Schizosaccharomyces pombe: one gene and its partners. Each later gene encodes a partner of the first gene's protein in a complex. Each region holds a gene or a part of one and is shown on either strand. Other genes may lie near its edges.

The links.
Region 2: nup131 (region 1) and nup107 share a complex: the UniProt entries of both Schizosaccharomyces pombe proteins name them as parts of the npc107-120 complex.
Region 3: nup131 (region 1) and nup120 share a complex: the UniProt entries of both Schizosaccharomyces pombe proteins name them as parts of the npc107-120 complex.
Region 4: nup131 (region 1) and seh1 share a complex: the UniProt entries of both Schizosaccharomyces pombe proteins name them as parts of the npc107-120 complex.

The regions. Positions count from the first base shown.
Region 1 is NC_003423.3:972,513-978,598, forward strand, and holds nup131 (nucleoporin, WD repeat Nup131), read right to left. Parts: upstream 4,335-6,086; 5' UTR 4,121-4,334; coding exon 2,660-4,120; intron 2,626-2,659; coding exon 2,532-2,625; intron 2,491-2,531; coding exon 2,105-2,490; exon of another isoform or gene 2,066-2,104; coding exon 1,711-2,065; exon of another isoform or gene 1,670-1,710; coding exon 537-1,669; 3' UTR 510-536; downstream 1-509. Other genes in the region: ilv1 (acetolactate synthase catalytic subunit), read left to right, coding at 4,597-6,086. UniProt on the Schizosaccharomyces pombe protein: Functions as a component of the nuclear pore complex (NPC).
Region 2 is NC_003423.3:438,453-443,720, forward strand, and holds nup107 (nucleoporin Nup107), read right to left. Parts: upstream 3,552-5,268; 5' UTR 3,524-3,551; coding exon 3,464-3,523; intron 3,389-3,463; coding exon 3,341-3,388; intron 3,300-3,340; coding exon 3,266-3,299; intron 3,216-3,265; coding exon 3,089-3,215; intron 3,033-3,088; coding exon 2,940-3,032; intron 2,886-2,939; coding exon 2,777-2,885; intron 2,736-2,776; coding exon 822-2,735; 3' UTR 547-821; downstream 1-546. Other genes in the region: rhp1602 (DNA translocase Rhp16b), read right to left, coding at 1-325; branched chain amino acid aminotransferase Eca39, read right to left, coding at 4,179-5,268. UniProt on the Schizosaccharomyces pombe protein: Functions as a component of the nuclear pore complex (NPC).
Region 3 is NC_003423.3:4,014,715-4,020,639, forward strand, and holds nup120 (nucleoporin, WD repeat Nup120), read right to left. Parts: upstream 4,137-5,925; 5' UTR 4,054-4,136; coding exon 643-4,053; 3' UTR 512-642; downstream 1-511. Other genes in the region: Sre1 cleavage-activating protein Scap Scp1, read right to left, coding at 1-61; Fe-sulfur protein Isa2, read left to right, coding at 5,595-5,925. UniProt on the Schizosaccharomyces pombe protein: Functions as a component of the nuclear pore complex (NPC).
Region 4 is NC_003424.3:2,397,423-2,401,229, reverse strand, and holds seh1 (GATOR2-SEACAT complex WD repeat subunit Seh1), read right to left. Parts: upstream 1,822-3,807; 5' UTR 1,810-1,821; coding exon 1,743-1,809; exon of another isoform or gene 1,702-1,742; coding exon 768-1,701; intron 714-767; coding exon 695-713; 3' UTR 511-694; downstream 1-510. Other genes in the region: nuclear import protein Nxt2, read left to right, coding at 1-84, 163-270; glm1 (glomulin), read left to right, coding at 3,042-3,351, 3,407-3,780. UniProt on the Schizosaccharomyces pombe protein: Functions as a component of the nuclear pore complex (NPC).

The DNA of each region.
Region 1 (6,086 bases):
GCAGTTTTTATGTAGTCAATTTGTAGCCTCACTAACAAATGCCACACAAATCTCAGTTTGTTTTCACTGCATTCACCACAGAGATTGAAGTCCAATTGCGATTCAGTAGCCGACCAAAAACAACAAAATTTAGAAAACCAATTACTATAATTTAATAGAAGTTACAGGCTTTCTTTCGACTAACAAATGATTATGTGGTTTGAGTGTTTTAGTGGACGTTAGTTGTAAGGTGTACTTGGATGCAACACACTAGGCCTTAGCTTAATTTCCAACGTAAGGGTGAGGCTATCCAGGACAGGGAAAAAGCCCCGAAGGCGCAATCATCATAATAAATCAAGAATCTATAATAAAAAAATTTAATTATTTTAAGCCGTAAATATTCTAACCAGTGATTATCTAGCATCTACCATCGTAAAAACGGAGTTGTCGGAGCTGAGGCTATACGATAGATTATACAAACATAAGTAGTACTAGGTTTAAACAGGTGTTTATCGATTACTGAGGAAATGTAAAGTAATATATAGCAAAATTTCATTTCATTGTTTTGTTGCTACGTCCAGAAGTTTCGGAATCAGAATGTATAACTCTCTATCTTTACATAGTACTGAGAAAATTTGCTTTTCACGAAAAAGCTCCATTTGATAATCTTCCACTTGCGACTCAGAAAGTGAAGAATATACACTTTGCAAAAAATTTTTTTCCGATTTCAAGTAATGTTTACTTTCGTCGTGAATATTGTGTTCCATATGTTGTAACCATATTAAAAAGTCTGATTCTAACATAATTTCCTTTACCATTGGAAAAAATGAAGATTCTAAATCTTCATGCGCATCGATGATTTCTGCCCAGTTCACCTGTAATAGAAAACGGCGATATACGAGATCTTTTAAGTAAAAATACACGTCCTTAGTGATTGTAGCTCTTTCTAATAACTCTAAGGCCAAATCAACTTCTTTGAATGAACATTCCCGTAATGAAAAAGAAGAAAAGAAATCTACCATCTCACAAAGCGTAGTGTATTCGTTTTGAATTAATCGCTCAACAGCACTAGACACGAGCCAGGCTCTGATAGAGTTTTCTGATAGATTTACACAATTGGAAGTTACTATTGCTTCGACAGCTTCTCCCTCGTCTTCTGTAATATCCACAAGTGATGAAAGCATTTCAGCATATTGCTCTTGAATAAGCAAAATGGCTAAATGATTTTCAATCACCTCAGTCTCATTTGACAATATGATATTTTCACCTTCAATTCTATTAGTCCATGAGTAGAGCTTTGCTAGAGCTAACTGCGAAATTTTACCGATAATCCTGTTTTCTTCTGGTTCACAATCACGGAAAAGAATTTCGGAGGCTCGTCCATAATTTCCATTTTGAGCTTCAAATATCCACAAAAGATTCAATAAATCATTGGCTTCAAAAAAAGATATTAAAAGTGATTGATACTCCAAGAAATCATGAAGCAAAGACGCATACTGCTCTGTATCAACCAAATAAAAAAAAATTACATCTGCGAATTCTTCTTTGTATTTATTTAAGCATGCTTTTTGCTTTTGAAGCTTAATGGTAGGATCCTTTGGATCTAGACAATCCAGCAAAATTACCATTGTCTGAAAGTCTTTAACTTTTTCCGCCAAGTCGATTGCCTTTTCCAAATATCCGACAGAAGCTTCTTTGTTAGCGGAAACAAGAAAGTGAGAAACAGCTTACCTAAATATTGTAACCATTCTTTTCGTGAATTGCCAAATTCTTCTTCAAATTTTTGAAAATTATGCGATTTTACTATGGTATCATCTGTTCCATTGTGCAAATCAAAGATCAAAAGGCAATTTTGTTCCACCAGATGCAAAATCTGCTTCCGAAGCTTGTTACTGACTTTTAATATGTGTGCATCTTTCGAGTCACGTACATCGCGATGCAATGATATCGAATCTTCGATCTGTTTTCGTAGTAAATCTAAGTGATCAACTTCAACTGTCCAAAGGTCGCTTCTAATCACAGAGGATGGATCAGTAAATTTTGATATTTTTTCTTGCCTATAAGCAAGCTCATTTCCAAAGATAGTCTAATATTAGTAAACCTCGTTATTTTATAAGAAACATACCCCATAAACGTTATTAACATTTACTATTACTTCAATTCTTTTTTGTGCGTTGCTAGCATCTTGGCCAGATATTTGAGAATATTCCGAGCTTAAATGCTGTAATAACAAATTTATATTCAGGCACTTTTTCAAAAAAAGTTCATCAATATTATCATTTGAAGACATTATTTTCAATACTCGTCGAAGCAAGTTAGACATTTTTTCATTACACATCAATAATTCATATAGGTCTGCCAAAGCACTGCAATAGGCAACTTTTAGCCATAATTGAAGTCTATTAGAAGGAGATAAATGTAGGTATTTGAAGGCAACAAGAACTATTTCCATCAAGTCACGTTGCTGAGAATGTAGTGTTTCTAATACAGACATATTTTTTTTACATGGCGCTGATTGCAATTAGTAATATATCATGAAAAAATTATCTTACTCGTATAAAGTTCATCACAAAGATTAAAGACTGTATTATAGACTTCGCTTTCAGAGAGGTTGTATGTAAAGTCAAAATTTAACAAAAATTGTTCCTATATGTTAGATACGAAAGAATTAACAACTTACACGGAACAAAGGGCTTTGCGATGCAAACTGGGAGAGACGACTTCGTAAATAGGTGGTTGCACTAAAGCTGGTTTTCAGGTAGCTAGCAGAAGATTCAATTCGGATTATACCATGCCCTTCTGTTAACAAGATCAATGCTGGAGTTTTTAGTAAGGTGTGCGTAGATTTTTCATATATCGCATCTTCCATGCCAAAATCCAAAACCCGAGATTTGGAAGTTAGGTTGTTCACAACCAGGTTTTCTTCGACATAAAAAGTGCCTTCTTTCCCTCGCACTTTATGAAACATAGCAAAAGTGACATCGAAGACGCAAAAAACAACTGTACCTGGACTTGGTAAAAATATTCGACACACTGATGGAAGAATTGCAGAAAGATATGAGCGTACATGGCAGAATTGTGAAACATGAGGTATCATCTGATGGTTGAAAGAAATAATGATTGCAGCATAATTGAATAATGAAGCATTATCACGCCAGGAAACCAAACAAGCTAACGTATAAGGATCCGAGGTTGAAACAGAAAAATCAAGGATTAGAAATCGATTTACGTAGGAAAAGGATTCCTGAATACTATCTAAAATTATATCATAAATGTCAAAACCACGTAACAAGTGGTGATCACCAGTCCCGAATATTTCCCAAATTCGCAATGTGCTTCCAGAATGCATAGAATAAACTAATCTCTCACCAGGTCCTTTTATTGAACCACAACGTATTGGAATAACTCTTCCTGAAGTAAATGCAAAGATACTGTTGTATAACGACAGCAAGCAGTTGGGGATGTGCAATCCAGGAAATAGGATTCGAACCTGAATAGAGGAATTGCCATCGCTATCTTTTAAATTCAGATGAAGCAACCGACCTGAACTCAGAGTAAGGAAAAAGCCAGCAGGCTCAGCACTAACCAAATTTTTACAGCTTTCATATCGTTTTAGTTGAATCCTGTAATGAAGAAAACCAGGAAATTCGGGAGCAGAAACCTCAACGTTCATCAAAGAAGTTCTTTCCCAGTAGAAAAGGTCGCCCGAAGCAGGCCACAAAAGTAAAAAGCCAGGCTCTGCTGATGTTGGATCTGGCTTAACAAATCCAGCTAACGGTGGGCTATTTAGACTCTGCTGATCTAGAATACCCGTAAAACGTTCCCAATCAAAGCATATTAAGTTTTGGGGCTGACTTCCATAACCAGCAATCCATGCCTTTCGAACTTTGACACTAATATACAAATAATATTCCAAAATAGAGTCAATTAGTCCAACAACTGGCGCATCATGGATTGTAAAATTGCCAACCTTAGGAGCAGATATTTGGAGTATTTTGTACAAGTCATTTGATGCACAGACTTTCGGGTATTCTGAAGTAGCTAATGTCTCATGTTTGTTTCCGTCGGCAACTTTTTCATGTTTTCCTGCAGGCGTAAAAGCTTTTTCATTTTGAAAAAACCGTCGATGTACAATAAACATTGCAATTCCTCTAATAAGAGGCTCACTAATGTTTAAAAAAGCGAAAGTATCTAAGATCTCTTACGTGTTAAACAGATTATGCTCAAAGATAATTCTGACGATTTTCTAAGCTGAATCGATAGGAAACTTATAATTTAGGATCAAGAAAAATTTATTTGACGTTTTCCAGCATTTACTAATGTTTAAAAAATTAAGGAGACATGGATAAATAGATAAATTGTATTCCTACATCATCTGAACTTTTTAAAGAATAATAACACGACTTCAAAGGGTATAGTATTATGCATCGGTATATTTAATCTCCGGGGTACAGTACTTATCGTTAACAAATCTGATCTTTTTTGTGGTGGTGAACAACCAATGTTTTTAGGCAAAAATGAACCTGCTCACTTCTCATACCGCTCAGCATACCGATCTTTTGCAACTTGAAAGATAGCTCTTTCTAGAAAGGAATTGAGGGTTAAAAGTTATTTATAATGACTGTGCTGGCTCCCCTTAGAAGATTGCATACGAGGGCGGCTTTCTCGTCTTATGGACGAGAAATTGCCCTTCAAAAGAGATTTTTAAATTTAAATAGTTGCTCAGCTGTGCGGAGGTATGGCACCGGCTTTAGTAATAATTTGAGAATTAAAAAATTAAAAAATGCATTCGGTGTCGTTCGGGCAAATTCGACCAAAAGCACCTCTACAGTGACTACGGCTAGTCCTATAAAATATGACAGCTCGTTTGTTGGAAAGACTGGGGGTGAAATTTTCCATGATATGATGCTCAAGCATAATGTTAAGCATGTATTTGGTTATCCAGGTGGTGCTATCTTGCCTGTCTTCGATGCAATTTATAGATCTCCTCATTTTGAATTTATCTTGCCAAGACACGAGCAAGCTGCTGGACATGCAGCCCAAGCTTATTCCCGCGTTACTAAAAAACCCGGCGTTGTATTGGTTACTTCTGGACCCGGTGCTACGAATGTGATTACCCCGATTGCTGATGCATTGGCCGACGGTACTCCCCTAGTTGTATTCTCTGGTCAAGTAGCAACCAGCGCAATTGGTAGTGATGCATTTCAAGAAGCTGACATGGTTGGTATTTCTCGTTCATGTACTAAATGGAATGTAATGGTCAAAGATGTTGCTGATCTTCCCCGTCGTATAGACGAAGCTTTTGAGATAGCTACTTCTGGACGCCCTGGCCCTGTATTGGTTGACCTTCCCAAAGATGTCACTGCTAGCGTTTTGAAGGAGCCCATTCCTATACTGTCTTCTGTACCATCAATGAATCGCAGAATGAAGGAAGTCTTAGAAGAGGGCTCCAAGAACGTTACTGCCAAGATCGATCGTGTTGCCAATTTACTAAAATTAGCCAAGAAGCCTGTGATTTTCTGTGGGCATGGTGTTTTAGCTAATCCCGAATGCCCCACTTTGTTACGCAAGTTTAGCGAAAGGCTGCAAATTCCTGTTACTACTTCTTTGCTTGGACTTGGTGCTGTAGATGAACGTTCTGACCTTAGTTTGCATATGCTCGGTATGCATGGTAGTGGATACGCTAATATGGCCATGCAGGAAGCCGATCTTATCCTTGCTCTTGGTGTTCGCTTTGACGACCGTGTCACCGGTAACGTAAGTTTGTTTGCTCCTCAAGCACGTCTTGCTGCTGCCGAAGAGCGTGGCGGTATTATTCACTTTGATATTTCACCCAAAAATATCGGTAAGGTCGTACAACCTACTGAAGCAATAGAGGGCGATGTATACGAATCTCTAAAGCTTTTAGATTCTGCTACTAAAAATATTAAAATTCCTTCCCGATTTGACTGGTTATCTCAAATTCAAACATGGAAGGAACGCTTCCCTTTCACTTTCACTCGTAGCGCTCCTGGTGAATTGGTAAAGCCTCAAGAAGTCATTCAAGAACTTGACAAACAAACTTCTGACATAAAGGACAAAGTCACTATTACCACCGGTGTCGGTGC
Region 2 (5,268 bases), 530 kb from region 1:
CCTCATCCTTACGTTCCAATTTTTTACTATAAAAAACCTGAGCTGGTTTACTAGTTATAGGCGCGGAGACGATTACTTCCTTTTCGTTTGTATCTATCTCCTGTCTCTTTAAGCTTTCAAAAGCATCAGAAAGAAAATGTTGGGTTTTCTTTTTATTCTTAGATTTTATAGATTGTTTTGGGATGGATTCATCTTCGCTTTTGGGCAACCTTGGTAATGAAGTAGATTCATTTTCTTTCCCTGCTGTATTTACACCGAAATTTTGTAAAAAAGAGTTATTCGCTTTTTTAACCCCACTTTCCTTATTTTTAGACGCTTTTTCCATCAAGCTCCCTCAAGCAAATTGCACTGAACGTGAACATTCAGTGGTAGTAGAAATAGCTTGTATACGATGGGTTCTTACTAAGTGAAGATTGGTGTCAAGAACTCAAATATTTCTATTTGCTTACTTTAATGTTTTTTTGAGTATAAAAGTAAACCCTACACAATATATCCACTAACACAGTTTTCGAGTCGAAATTTGTAAAGACTGCTCAAATCGACTATAGGATTTAAGAACTTGCGCAATGGTCCTAATTAACCGAACTTTCAAACAATTTTATAAGAATGTTTGCAACAAAGTGTCTGCAATTCTGGATTTAGTTCATAGTCTAACTTTTTGGAAAAAAAAATTTATATTAGAAATAGTCAAAAGTTATGGAAGTTTTTCAGCTTAGTTTTAAAATCAACGTATTAAGATAAACTGGTTATCAATGCGAAGATGATACCACATTTGCAGCATCACTATTAGTTTTCGAATTGAATCTCTTATACATTGACACTTATAAAGAAAAAAGCCCATTAGGGGTTGAAAGGCTACATTCTCCGGCCTTTCCTAAATAAGAAACATATTCAACCAGTCTGCCACTTTTAATAAGACAATGGTAAAGTTTTAAATCTTCACTGGCAACTTCGTTAGCCAGAGCAAAACAGCTATCATAGTCCTCAAGGCTAAAATAAACATTATGCAAACCGAGAATTAGTTCAGGCACATACAAATTCCGAATAGTCATAAGAGTTTTATAAAGCAAAGGATCATCATCTGGTTTCAGCTCCAATGTAGACGGGTGAAGCCAGTTAGCTTGAAGTAAGTCTGTGAAGGACTTTACACATTTACGAGAGGCAAAATTCAATTTTTTTTTCCAAACTTTATAAGAAGTGCTAGCTTTCGTAACTGCAGAATCTTCAAATACTTCTTGTTTAGAAAGCTCTTCCCATTCTTGATAAAATTTAAGTGCTCTGCAGAGAGCTCGATAGTTCATCAGTTCATACGCATCTCTAAACTTAGAATCGTTTTCGGGTTCACCATCGCTAGAGCTTAGCGTATTCAAAGCATCAGAGGGAATATGTGTATAAAGATCGTATGCACTATTTAGCTCGCCAATGCTTAAAAAGAAACGATATACAAGGTTTGCAAATCGGAGCAGCTCATCTGTCTGTGAAGTGATTAATAACCATTCAAGGGTGCAGATGAGCTTTTTATAAGATGGTTCAACTGGCTCCTCAATAGATTTTAAATATACTGTGTGAACTTCTTCGGGAGAAACAGAGACAACTTCATCATACACATATTCAACAGCTAGTAACGCCGCATGATTAATATCTAATGAATATTTTTTTGCTAATTGAAGTTGTTCTGATCTTGCACTTTCTTCATCAACAAGAATAAGGAATCGAGAATAAGCCTCGTACTGCACTTGATTTGATAGGTACTGAATATACAATGGAACCAAGTTAACTTTTTTAGCACTAGCCAATAACTCAATATACGCTTGGATAATAGAGTCAGAAGTATATTCATCCACAGCAAGACCTGAAATCTTCAAAAATAAAATTATGTGTGTCAGTATTCGAAGAAGAGGAGGTGTAACCAAATCCCCAGACTCAGGGGCATTTCCAGTCCGAATTGCTTCCAACTGTATGTGAGCAGAGCTCAAAATTTCCGAAATTTTATTACAAATGATATGAGTTTGAAGTTTAATTAGGGGATGTGATGCTTCTTCTTGGATTGAAGCAATAGAGCTGTTACTCAGCGAATTAAAAATCAATTCGGGAGTTAAGCCTAAACCACTATCCACTGGAGGCAATTGTGTTTCTGTTTGAGGAGCCTTAGAAGAAAGATAAACATCCAAATTGTACTGAGTCATACTATTATAATAAGCCCACATCGCATCCTCCCAAGTTGTGCACACATCAAGGACGGAGTTCAAGTCTCCACATAAAGCGCCATAAAGAGCGCGTTCATAAGAGTCTATCCGTTTATTTTTTGTAAGTGCTAAACATGATCTGCGCAAGAGTTCCTTTCTTTTATTACCGGAAGTCTCGGATTGCAAAACATCGTCGATGAGGTTATCTCTATACTCCAAAATTCCTTGAAGTGAAGCAGAACGCCAATGATTACCAGTTCTCCTACACAGCTCTAATAGTTCTTCAAAGCTTCCCGAACGAAATAAGCAGAATGCAGTATGAAAAAACTGGCGTTCAAAGTTATCATCTCGTTCGTCTAAACGTTTGTCGTCTCGTATATCTGCATCAGGATCGAGATTGGAAACAATCGTACCTGAGATGTTGGAAGAAAACCTAGAACCACCTCGGTTTTTCATTTTTATATCCTCTCTTGTATAAAACCATCGGTTTCCTCGAATTTCAATTGAAGGAGGATCGGAGGAATTATCACGAGCCCAATTGAATACGATCTATAGAATATTAACAAACATATAATAAAAAAAATACGTACATTATTCTCGAATGCCTCGGGATTTTGAGAGTAATATTCCTCTTCTAAAACGGCACGAGACGAAAAGGCATGCGACTGAATATGCCCTTGTTGTTCAGATAATCGAAACCTAGTAAAAGTTGTTAAAAACCAAGTTAAACGAATGGCAGCGAAACGAACATACGAGTAAAGACGTTGTATTAGGTCCCATGTACGAGATTCTAAATCCCATAACTCTATCCATTCTTCATCATCTTCTTTCAAACATTTTTCAAATCTATTTATGTTAATACAAGTGTTCATTCAAGTCAAAGTACAGAACGGTAACCATACTTTTCCTGACACAACTCATAGTATGCATATAGCAGCCCATCCTTTGAGAATAAATTGTCTTTCTTTAAAGAAGTGATTATATTAAACTTTTCGTATTCGTCTCCAAGTTCAACGCTTACGGCGGTTTCTGTACCATAGTTAGATATATACTTTACTTGTACGTGATAAGCTTTATACCATTTGGGCCTATGCAAACGACATTTTGATTCATCTAAATGGTTAAAATAATGTTAAATTTATTTAATAACAAACCTCGGCCTCTTCTTCGTCCATTTCAATTAGTTCTTGAATACTAGAACTCTTCGTATGTTAGTACTTCTGTGTTCCAAGCAGTAGAAATTGACAATAAGGGTTAAAATCTTATTATTAACTTACTCCATTTTTTTTGTGTCCAAGGACATTCAGAGTAGCATTATTCAATGCATTCTGATGCATGGTTTTGAAATCCAACCTCGTATGGGTTAAGATCGTACTATAGCAGCAACAAGCCATCCAAGCAATGTAATTTCAACAGACCAATTCTAATGCTATATTTCAGTTATATGCATACTATTTTCTTTTTTTTACATATTTATATTCATTTGTTTATCTACTACTTCTTTATTTCGAGAAAAGACATAAAATTTATTAAGTCCATGAATTTTCTTGTCAACTCTGCACACTAGTAGAATGGAACTAACTGTTTCCACGATCAAATGTCGAGCCCAATCAATTACTTTTCTCTCATTTACCATGTAGCTTAGATAATTTTATTTACTATTACATTTTTACACTTTACTAGCCTAAATGAATAATAAACGATGTGTATTGAATAAATTTAATATATCTGTAGAATAACACTAATTGATGTTTACGCTAGTATTGAACAATTCATAAATACTCCGATTGATTTACAAATTTATATACAAGAAGACTATCCTTCTGTAATGTTATCAATAAAAGAATTGAAAAGGAAAAGTAACACGAATCAGAGAAACCAACAAAGATAAAAGGGATTAACCCTCGAAAGGTCTATATGTAATAATTATGGACACCTAATATCATAAATGTCTAAAGACAGACATAGTTAGGTATTTTTTGAGAATTAAATTTAAGGCAAAGCAGGAACGCTCCAAGGGTTGTTAGGTTCCTTGCCGTATTGGATATCCAAAATCCATTTGCTGATTTCAGAAGTGATGGGACCAGCTTCCTGACCCTCAGGCATGGGAATTTCATACTCAGTACCCTTGTAGTTAATAGCCTTGACGGGGGAAACAAGGGCAGCAGTACCAGCTCCAAAGACTTCCAAAAGGCGACCTTCCTTAGAAGCTTGAGCAACCTCTTTCATGGAATACTTGCCCTCAGTAATCTTCCAGCCTTTAGGTGCGAGACGTTCACGGCAAATTTCCAAAATAGAATCACGAGTGACACCAGGTAAGATCATACCGTCAAGAGGGGCAGTAATGATTTCTTTTTCGCCATTCTTGTTAATCCAAACAGTAAAGCAGTTCATAGTACCAACCTCAGTAATGTAGTCCTCGTCTCCATAAAGCCAGAGAATCTGAGCATACCCCTTCTTGGCAGCCTCTTTTTGAGGCAAAACACTAGGAGCATAGTTACCACCAAGCTTGTAGTGACCAGTACCGCCAGGCCAAGCACGAACGGATTCTTCGGAGCAACAAAGCTTAACGGCCTTGAAACCAGAGCTGTAGTAGGGGCCAACGGGAGAGGCAATAACATAAAGCATAGCGTTGTCACAATGGTGGACACCTAAGGCTTCATCAGTACCAATGAAAGTAGGACGAATGTACAAAGAGTAACCACGCTGATCAGGGACCCAACGGTTTTCGTGAGCGACGAACTTTCTGATAATTTCAGCAAGCTCAGCAGGGTCGAAGGAAGGAAGAGATATACGAGTACCAGTTGAAAGCATACGCTCAGCATTCTTGATGGGACGGAAAAGACGTGGGACACCCTTTTCGTCACGGAAAGCTTTCATGCCTTCAAAGCACTCAAAACCATAATGGAAAACGGAGGAAGCAGGGTGAAAGCAAAGTTTACCAAATGGAACGATCTCAGGAGTACTCCAACCCTTTTCTCTGTTCCATTTCATAATAAGCATATGATCAGTAAAATTCTCACCAAACTTCAAACTCTTCCATTCGGGCAAAGGTTTAAGCTCCTTAACATTAGTAACTTTT
Region 3 (5,925 bases), 3.0 Mb from region 1:
GGTTAACTTGCCGAGCATACCCTCGTGAAATTCGGCCTTTTCCAAGAGTAAAAATCCTCATAACGATATTTTCAGTTCAATAACATTGGTAAACGTTCATTAATTAGATCTTTACAAGACCGATATACCCAATTCACTGAGAATCAGTTTTCGCAGGTCTTGGTGTTTTGTACATTCCTTCGGGACCCGACAAATTTAAATTCGGGCACACGGCGTGCAATTTCCGTACACTATTATTAATAGAGAATTATTTAATCTGAAACCAAAAGTTTCAAAAAAATGTTATAAAATAAGGAAATAAAAATTCAAATATATAATTATTGTTGGTTCCAACATTCTGCCGATACTAGCCGTATCTCAACAATATTTCCCAACGGACAACACTAATTAGCAAACTGCGGCAAGCTGCAGCAAAAAGGTCGGAATTATAATTCGTTAAAGATATGTAAATACCAATGCTATCGAAAGTATATTTATATTCAGAATTTAATTTTATAGAAAGAAGTTAGTTATTTATGGCTACCCATCGCCTCAATGAAACTAAAGATGATTTAATTACTAAAACTCTGCCAAGCATATTGCTTTTTTTCTGGATTTTTCTAAATGAGAAGGTTAAGCTGCGTAAATAATTCTTTGTTGCCTTTATAAATCGATATTCATGGCCGATGACATTTCAGCTGTAACTTGAACAGCGACATCCTTCAACTGTAAGTGATATTCTGCTACAATTGCATCTAGAGTAAGTAATTTTTGTGGAAGAAAGTTAGGGTCAGGTTCCTTGTCCACGGACATGTCTGTCACAAGAATCCATGTATCTTCTTTCGGAAGCAACTCCAGAGTGTTCAAAACAATCAAATAATGTTCTATTATAAAAGTTCTCTCCTTTTTTCCAATTAATTCTGTAGTAGAGATATACCGGCTCAGTTTTTCATAAATAATTGCTGCTGCGTCTCGATAGTTTTGATGTTTATACCGCCAACTAAACAAAATATTATACCAGCATGGTTGTGATTCAACGTTAATCATTTGAAAGGCCTTTCGCTCAAGCAAATTGTCGACGTCCTGTCTTAACGTTGGCATTGAATAATTTAGAAGCTGATTTATTTTACCTTGTTTCGTTAATTGATTTACAAAGTCTAGTAAACATGACTTTTTCAAAGGCGTAGTGGATAAAACCATCAATGCAACGTGAGCAGCGTCAAACTTTCCTGCTGCACAAGCGGTTTTTAAAGTCTCATGGGTAATTGCAATAGACAAATCTTCGTCGTCAGTCTCTTTCGAGGCATCTGCTAATAAAGAAAATTCTAATGCATCTATATATGCACTCTCCTCGAACAGCTTTTTTGATAGATGAAGGTAATAACACGATAATAGGTTCTGATGGTGGTATTTTTCAGCAATTTCTTGAAACTCCCGTAAAACTGCGAATTGAGAAGTATGTGAGTAAAGGACTAGAGAAGTAGTCTTGAAACATCGGACAGCCTTAACAGCTTCTTTCGATTTGAGATAAATAAGTGCTTTCAAGTAGACTGCAATTGGGTCAGAGTTAAGCCACCCTATTAATTGCATACATGCATTATATTGTTTGAATAGAAACAACTTTTCTACAAGTTCAGTGACCAGATCATTTTCCGTATCGTCCCTTATAAAGATTGCCGACAAAGACGATATCACGGTAGCATGTAAAGGTGAAATTTGGCTTTCTGAGAAACATTCGGAATAATTCAAAGCGGAAAAAAACTGAAGGGCTGTGTTAACACTTGCTAAAGCTTCCATAGTATTTAAATTACAGTTTGTTGAATCAACATCCTCCTCCTCAAATTTTTCTAGCAAAAGTGCAGAATTCTCTAAAAGAAAACTCACAAGACGCCAATCTTCTAGTAAAGAAAGAAATAATTTATCACATCCTGCAAATTTGGATTGTAACTCATAATCCTGCTGGCTAGTTATCAAAGAAAGTAGAAAAATAAATCCTTCAATAGAGACTTGAAACTTTTTCAAAATACTGTCCAAAACCCGTGCTACCGATGCACACAAAAATAAGGAAGGGGATTGAGCGGAATGGTTGTAAATATCGAAACTTCTTAAGCGTTGGATAAGAGAATCAATGTCGCGCATCGGGTTTTCAAGAGAAACTAGAGTATCAATTAAAGTACTGATATAATCTGGATCGACGTTGGGATATATGTGCTTGTCATAAAATACCCACAATGTATCAAATAAAGAATAAGATGGCAAATCCTGGACTAGTTCTCGTAATGAGTATCTAATTTCAGATAAAGTAGAAAATGACATACAGGAATGTAAACTCCTACCAAGATCCAGAATTTGATAACCTTCAATTAGAGAAGGATCATCTGTTTCAAGGGAACTAATTAATTTGGTCAACGGCTCTTCGTCAAAGGATTCAATGAGATAAGGATCCCTAATAAAAGCCACTTTATTTGCATAATTGATATATGTAACAGCGTTCGAAGGATCGAAGTTAATACTTAATATTTCATCTCCAAAATGATCCAGATATGCAACAAGTTTCGCAAACCTTTCCCATTCATTATATAATAGCCGCTTATATTCATAATAATCGTATCCAGTTAAATCTGAATTTGGCTCTATTTGGATCGTTGAAACTATAGACGACAAAACGGCATTTTTAAGTTCACTTATAGTAAGTGCGCCAAATTTATCCAGTTTATTTTTTGAAACTTGCGAGGAGCTGTTTTGAAAGCTTAAAAGAGCAACTTGTATAGACTCAATAGATGTATTATGTGCAAAAATGTGTTGTAGCCAAATCTCTGAGATATCCCCAGACGACATGTTTGTTGGAACGTCAAAAAAGGTTTTTTCTATGAGGGAAAAGCTATCCAAAGAGTGACTCCAAACGCATGAAAAACTCTCGTCCTGATCTAGACTAAGGTTGCATTTTTGGATAACGGTATTTAAGTTGCTTTTCCAAGCAATAATGAGCAAAAATTTAGATTGAGAGCCCTCTGACGATATCAGTTGAAAATCAGAAAGCATCCATGGTATGAACTCATCGTCTGGTAAAGAAGGAGGAATTATGCCCTTCTCGATGACAACATTTAATTTAAAAGAGTGGGCGTTTGCGTTAAGTTTGTAAATTGAAAAAGAGCCATGAGAATTATCTGGGTAATACAGAGCGATGAAAGAATTAGTGGTGTGATCTGAAGTTAAATAAGGAAAGGATTGTAGAGGAAGTATAGTCTGTGACAGTTCAATGGTTTCGACGCATTGATTAGTAGACAAATCCAAAACTTTTAACTTATAGTCAAGCGATAGCATCACAAGAACATTATAGGTAGACAAAAAAATCATTGAAATAATAGTATTAGGAGAGCGGTAATCTGCCTTAAATGCCTGAAGTGATAGATATTTTTTTAGGGAAAACAAATAACTAGAATCATCAATATGCTGTTCGTAGTGACTAGCGTCTTTTGGATTTAATATAATCTTTGTTAAACCTCCATTGAAAAAGCTTACACAAATTTCAGACGTGCTAATTGCGGCCATTAAATCGGGTTTTTGATTCAGAAAGGATATTGGTCGGTAACAAAGACACCAATCGTCGTCTAAGCGAGCGTCCGGTAATTGGAACCAAGTTTTAGATAATCTAATATAATACAAAACGCGAGCGTGAGTAATAGCATATATAATGGTCGTGTCGGAATGCTCACTGAACGAGAAAGCTACACCGTCCTTCATTACGTTGGATGGAAAATGAATTTTCACATTAAATTTTGATAAAGGCTCCTTCTTAGAATTTAATGAAACATCAAAGATAGTGAGTGTTCTGTTTTGGAATATACTCCATCGTAAAGTTTGTGAACCTTTGCTTTTATTTGAGGTATAAACACCTGCATCATATGCTACACATTCCTTTTTAAAAAGTTTTTCATTATCATCAGCTGTTTCTATAGCTTCAGAATCGTCTTCCGAGTCGTTTTCGAGAGCTGGAACCCACAACGCCAAAGTTCCTTCCAGACAAAAAGATTGTAAGTCTATCGGAACTACCGCATGCTTTAATTCATTCATATTTTGATTTTATTTTTTACTGGTAGCGGTAATACCAGTAGAAATACCAAACAAATAGCTAACAATAGGGGGCAGTTCTGGTTGAGTATCGTAGACAACGACCTACACGAGTTAGCGTAAGACAGGCCAGTCCTACAACGAATTTATGAGAAACGCGTAAATACGAGTATATTTGTAATTCTTTAGCTTTTTAGGGTAGAGGGAGATGGAATGTAAAACTGAATTTTCTTCTTGAAGATTAAGTTCCTTAATAAAATAGAATCATTTGATTGTGGATGAAGAAAGCTAAACAATTTGATAGTTTTTATTAATCGAGCAATTCCTTTGTATTCATAATAATAAAAAAGGAATCAAATATTCATTTAAAACTCAAGAGCTTAAATGGATTCTCTATTTTATTTGTGAAATTACATACAACAGTAAAAGATCTTCAAGATATCAGAAGCCTTTCTTAGATTATTGTTAGTTTTTTTTATTATTTTTTGTATACCTGTAACTTTTTAGCTGTTGTTTTAAGAGATTAAATCTATTTAAATTAACAGTACTCATCTTTAGGGTCTTAATTTACAGCCTTTCAATCTTTTTTAATAAAATAGTTTTCTAATTTTCTAGTTTTGTTTATTTTTAAATTTTGCAAATTCTTAGTAAATAAAACATGTAATATTTTCAACCATACGTTAAATTGTAAATTACATTTTAATAAATATTAATTACGTGCAAGGGTGAATTATTGTTCATTGGCATGCAATTTATAATTTATTTTTTTTATTGCAGATACAACCAATTCTAAGTCTAATAGCCAAGATCTCTTATACCTGATTCAATATTACAATTGCGGTGATATGTGCTTGTACGAACACCCGCAACTTTATAGTAATTAAGCGGTAGTACATACACTGGTATCACGATAAAGAATTAGCTAAAGTAGAAGATTGTAGCAATGGCATCAATTGTGATAAAGACATTTTCTGGATGTGATCCACCGGTCTATGCTAGAATTAAAGGATCGACAATAAATATCCAGAAGAAGAATTAACCAAATGGGTTGAAATTATCTCTAATAGCTAAAAATCTATTCATTTAAAACTGAAAGAGAATTAAAGGAGTAGGAGTACCAAAAGGTAAAAATAATCCAAAGATATTAATTTTGACTATAAATCATCACAAAATTTAGTAGCATACAACATAAGTAAAAAAGAACATTAAATAATTCTAGATATATTTGATAAATTCCCCTTATTCTCTACTAGCTATGGGTGTGAGAGTTTTGTAAGTTCGAATTCAATCTATCCGATATAAATCTCTTAGAGATTGGGTGTTAACTAATAGGTAAATCCCTGAATTTGACTTTAGTCTATGACACACTCGTCAAGTTATGACTATTTCATTTATGTACTTAACTTCTCTATCTCATAAACATAAGCACCAATTTGGAATATACTGAATTAACGAAACAGAGCGTAGGCAATTTGACTTCTATTACGTTACTGTATGTTTACAAGTTAGAAAGTCCTAACTTGTGGCTATAATACTTTGCAGTGATGCTTATGAAATCGCGAGTAAACTTATTGTTTAAAGGACCATTTTTCTTTCGAGAACGTTGTTTTCAAACACTCTTAAATCCTGTGATCGCAATTCGACAGCTATCGCATGGATCGCTTAGAAATTCTCGATCATGTAGAATTGATGCGAAATCGAATACATTAACGAAAGAAATATTTCCCAAAATAAATAATGAATTCAAAATCAAAAATCGATTTTATAGCTCAAAGCTTGCGAACGACCAATTCACGCTTCAAGAGCAATGTGACGAGAAGGGAATCCCTTTTATTTTATACGTGAAAGATTCAGCGAAAAAACAGTTAGAAAAAA
Region 4 (3,807 bases), on another chromosome or scaffold:
GTTCAACACCGCATCTCAACTTTGGATGCTCAACCTACTGGTACTACTGGATCCGTAATCGTTATGGTTACAGGTGAGCTTTTGGTAAGTTATAAGATTGATGTTACTTATTCTATTCATTTTTTTTTTTTTTGCTTTGCTCTTTTTTTAACCTTTTTGTAGTTGGATGAAGAGCAAATGGCCCAGCGCTATAGCCAAGTTTTTCACCTTGTTAACAATAATGGTAACTACTATGTCTTAAATGACCTGTTTCGTTTGAACTATGGTTGAAGAATATCATAGTGAAAATATTTAATACAAGTATCTTGATTATCTGCAATTTCATTTTCTTTTTTTTTATGCTTTTGTAGCGATTACCGGATTTTCAAACTACAACCTGTAGCAGATATAGCTTTTTGAACCCATCGCTTGTTTAGTTCGTTAAAACAAATTTTCGAATTGAACTCTACCTAAAAGTTTACATTAAGACTTAGTCTAATTTCGAAGTTTTACGCTAAATGAAAATTTAATCTCAAAGCGAATGTTAGTTCACTTGTCTAAAATTATAAATTAAAACCAAAAATTTATAAAGTAATATCTCCTTTTTTACAATTTGGTTATGATCTAGCTGGTAAATATGAAATAATTTAAGAAAGGAAACCAAGCAAGGTCGGCCATTCAATGTATCTGTTACATTAAAATTGAACTAAGTAAATCACAATTTTTCAGGTTTTCTGTCACAAGTTAGTATCATATATTCATGAGGCCGAAAGCATCTCTGAACTTACTTTTCTAAAGAAACGACAGATATGCATTTAAATAAATTTGCATAGGACGCTTTCCATAAACGAACGCACCCATCATCGCCCGAGCTGCTCAAAATAGTTCCTGTCACATTAAAACGGCATCTCCACACTTGACATTTATGGTTATCATATTCACCAATGAGTTCCACCTTCAAAGAATTTAGATTGAAATTTGAGTCTTCTGTCATTGAATTTCCAGCATCTTCTTCCTCTTGAAATACTTCTTCGCAAAGGGTTTCAACTTTAAAAATACGAACATTCCCATCTTTGCATGCAGTAGCTATCAGGTAATAACTACTGCCCATACTCGGAGCCCAGCAAATATCACGAATAAGATCTGTATGTCCGGGTAACTCAGCAACTTTTTTCCATTTTCCATGAGAGTTCTGCTTGTAAATGTAAGCATCATTCATGCATCCAACAGCAATGTACTGTTCTCGCCAACGTGATGGGCACCAATTTACACAAAACGCTGGTTGCTCGTTGCGCGAAGGAGGGGACGGCATTAAAGCAATTTCATTCATTAAAGTCCAATACGTTAAATTACCGGGTTCCATGGCCTCATAAATCCGTAAAGTAGCATCCGCCGAAACTGCTGCTAATTTGCAACCATGTTGAAAAGGGCAAAATGATATGTCTAATACGGCGCTACGAGCATCCATTAATTTTGCAACTTCAACCCATGTCTTGGATTCAAAGTTCTTTTTTTGTTCCTCATAGATCCGAACCCCTCTGTCTAAACTGCAGACAGCTAGCACTTGACCAAATGAAGGATGAGCCCAAGCAACCCTCATTAGACTAGCATCTCCTGCCCTCCATTCAGAAGTGATTGCCCATGTTTCAGTATCATCATTAAAATCGTAAACCTTGACTCGTTGATCAGCTGAACATGATACCATTCGACGGCCATAAAAGTCTTGACAATTAGCTACAAAATCTAAAATAATATTTCCTTACCGTATGTAACATCATTCACTAAATCTTGGTGATTTGTTTGAATCGTAGTAGCCGAAATATCATCCATGTTGGTAGAGACGAGGTGAGCTAGTAAAGAAGGGCCAAAAGATTTTATATGTAAATTATCGGTATCAGCGCAAAAAAAAAGAGGGTAAGTCTAGAAAAAATGAAAGAAGTAAATTTTTTGTAAAGAAGACTTTTCGCATGCTTAACTTTCGGTCCGACAAGTTAACTCATCGAAGGCGACAATCATAGTAAAGAATATACAAAACGACTAAAATAGTCAGCAAATATCTACTGCACATAATCTTCACTCAGTTCATTCTTAATAGATGGTAATAACAAATTTGTATACCACATTGACGTTATTTCACCTGAAGTGATTTGGTAAGCCAAAACGATAATAATCTAATATGTTCATTGACGTTTAAAAAATGAAATGAAAGTTTCAAGTACTATACAAATAGTCTTCCGGACTACTAAATTATTTAGTTGTTAGTGGTATGTATACCTCAGTCAATAGTTAGTTATTAATTACCTTCATTTACAAATATGAAATTATGTGCTTTTTTTAATGGTTTCAGTATAGTTAAAAGTATTATTGATATTTTGTTTAAGGTACAAAATCTTTTGATAAAATTATTGATTTAATTAATGCAAAACTGAAGTAGGTAATTTGAAAATATTAGTCCCCCATTAAAAAATATGCATATATAATGTTAATACTTTTTTTGTAAAATAAGAACTTCACAATAAAATGCTGAGGAGCCGTAATCAAAATTAGCAAAAAAATTCATAAAAACATTTTATTTGATTTTGCAAAGAGACAAACGATAGTAGTAACATTGATATCATTAAAGTGTTGGTTTTTTGAATTTATAAGCTTGTCTATTTATTAAATGCAGTCAGTGTTTAACAAAATAGTGACACTACCAGTCAATTCTTTTCAGTTTTGTATTTGCAGATTATCACAGATTTCAAAATGACTTTTGTGACCCATAATATGTTCTTGTCTCATGTGTGTTATTATACTACAATACTTCAGGACTTAATAGGCAAGTCATGTACAAGTAATAATGATTGTAATTGCACGTCAGTGCCACAAGTATAGTATATCTTTTAAATGGGAAATTTTTCAATTTTTTTTATTTTTTATACACTGAATGTCAATTGGCAATGCCATTTTGACTCTACGGAATTTTGATTATATTGAGTATTGTAAAACGACCCTTTTCTAAAAATAAAAAACAAAGCCTATCCCTTACTCGCTAATCTGAGTTAGTTCGATCAAGGCCAGAAATGGAACAAATCAGGCCGTTCTCGGATAACTACTTGGATCGTCTACGTACAGTTGAAGAGGATGATTATAATGACTGGGAGGGTTCATCTGATACAAAAACGTTATACTCAAGCGTATCAGACAGCAAAATAGGGCATAAAAAAAGTTTTCATAAGGATGGCAAAGGCTTATTTAAGACATTGCGAAATTTTTTGAGTTTGAAAACTAATAAGGTACCTAAAAACAGAAAGTTTTCATTACTAAAGGGTTCTAAATGTAACAATGTGGAAATTAAGGTGTTTATAAGGAATAATGATAAACAATCAAACGGTGCGTCAAAAATAGGATAATGACACTTTGTTTTCTTAAATTTTAACAGCTGTAGTTCATAATTTTAAAGGAAAAGATTCAATTCATGAAGCATGGAGCCAATATTTAATTTTTGATAGCATGGGCTTGAGTCCCCTTATACACATATCTGGAGAAGATAAATACAAAGTTCTTTGCTTATTTAGTATATGGAGAAGAAAACTTGGCAAATGCTCAATTTTTACTGTCCATGACCCCGATATCCAAAAGAAAATAAAAAGCATACTGTCATACTTATGGGAACTTAGTAATACAAATGACCCTCCTCATGTTATCGTGTGGCATACCGCAAAAGGCACTAATGTCATGACAATGGGACCTTTGGGACTAAAAGATGAAGATCTTTGGAATTATGCCAACGAAAGATCCAACCTTAATGGTACTACTTGACACCACTGCAATGCCTTTTAGAGAAGA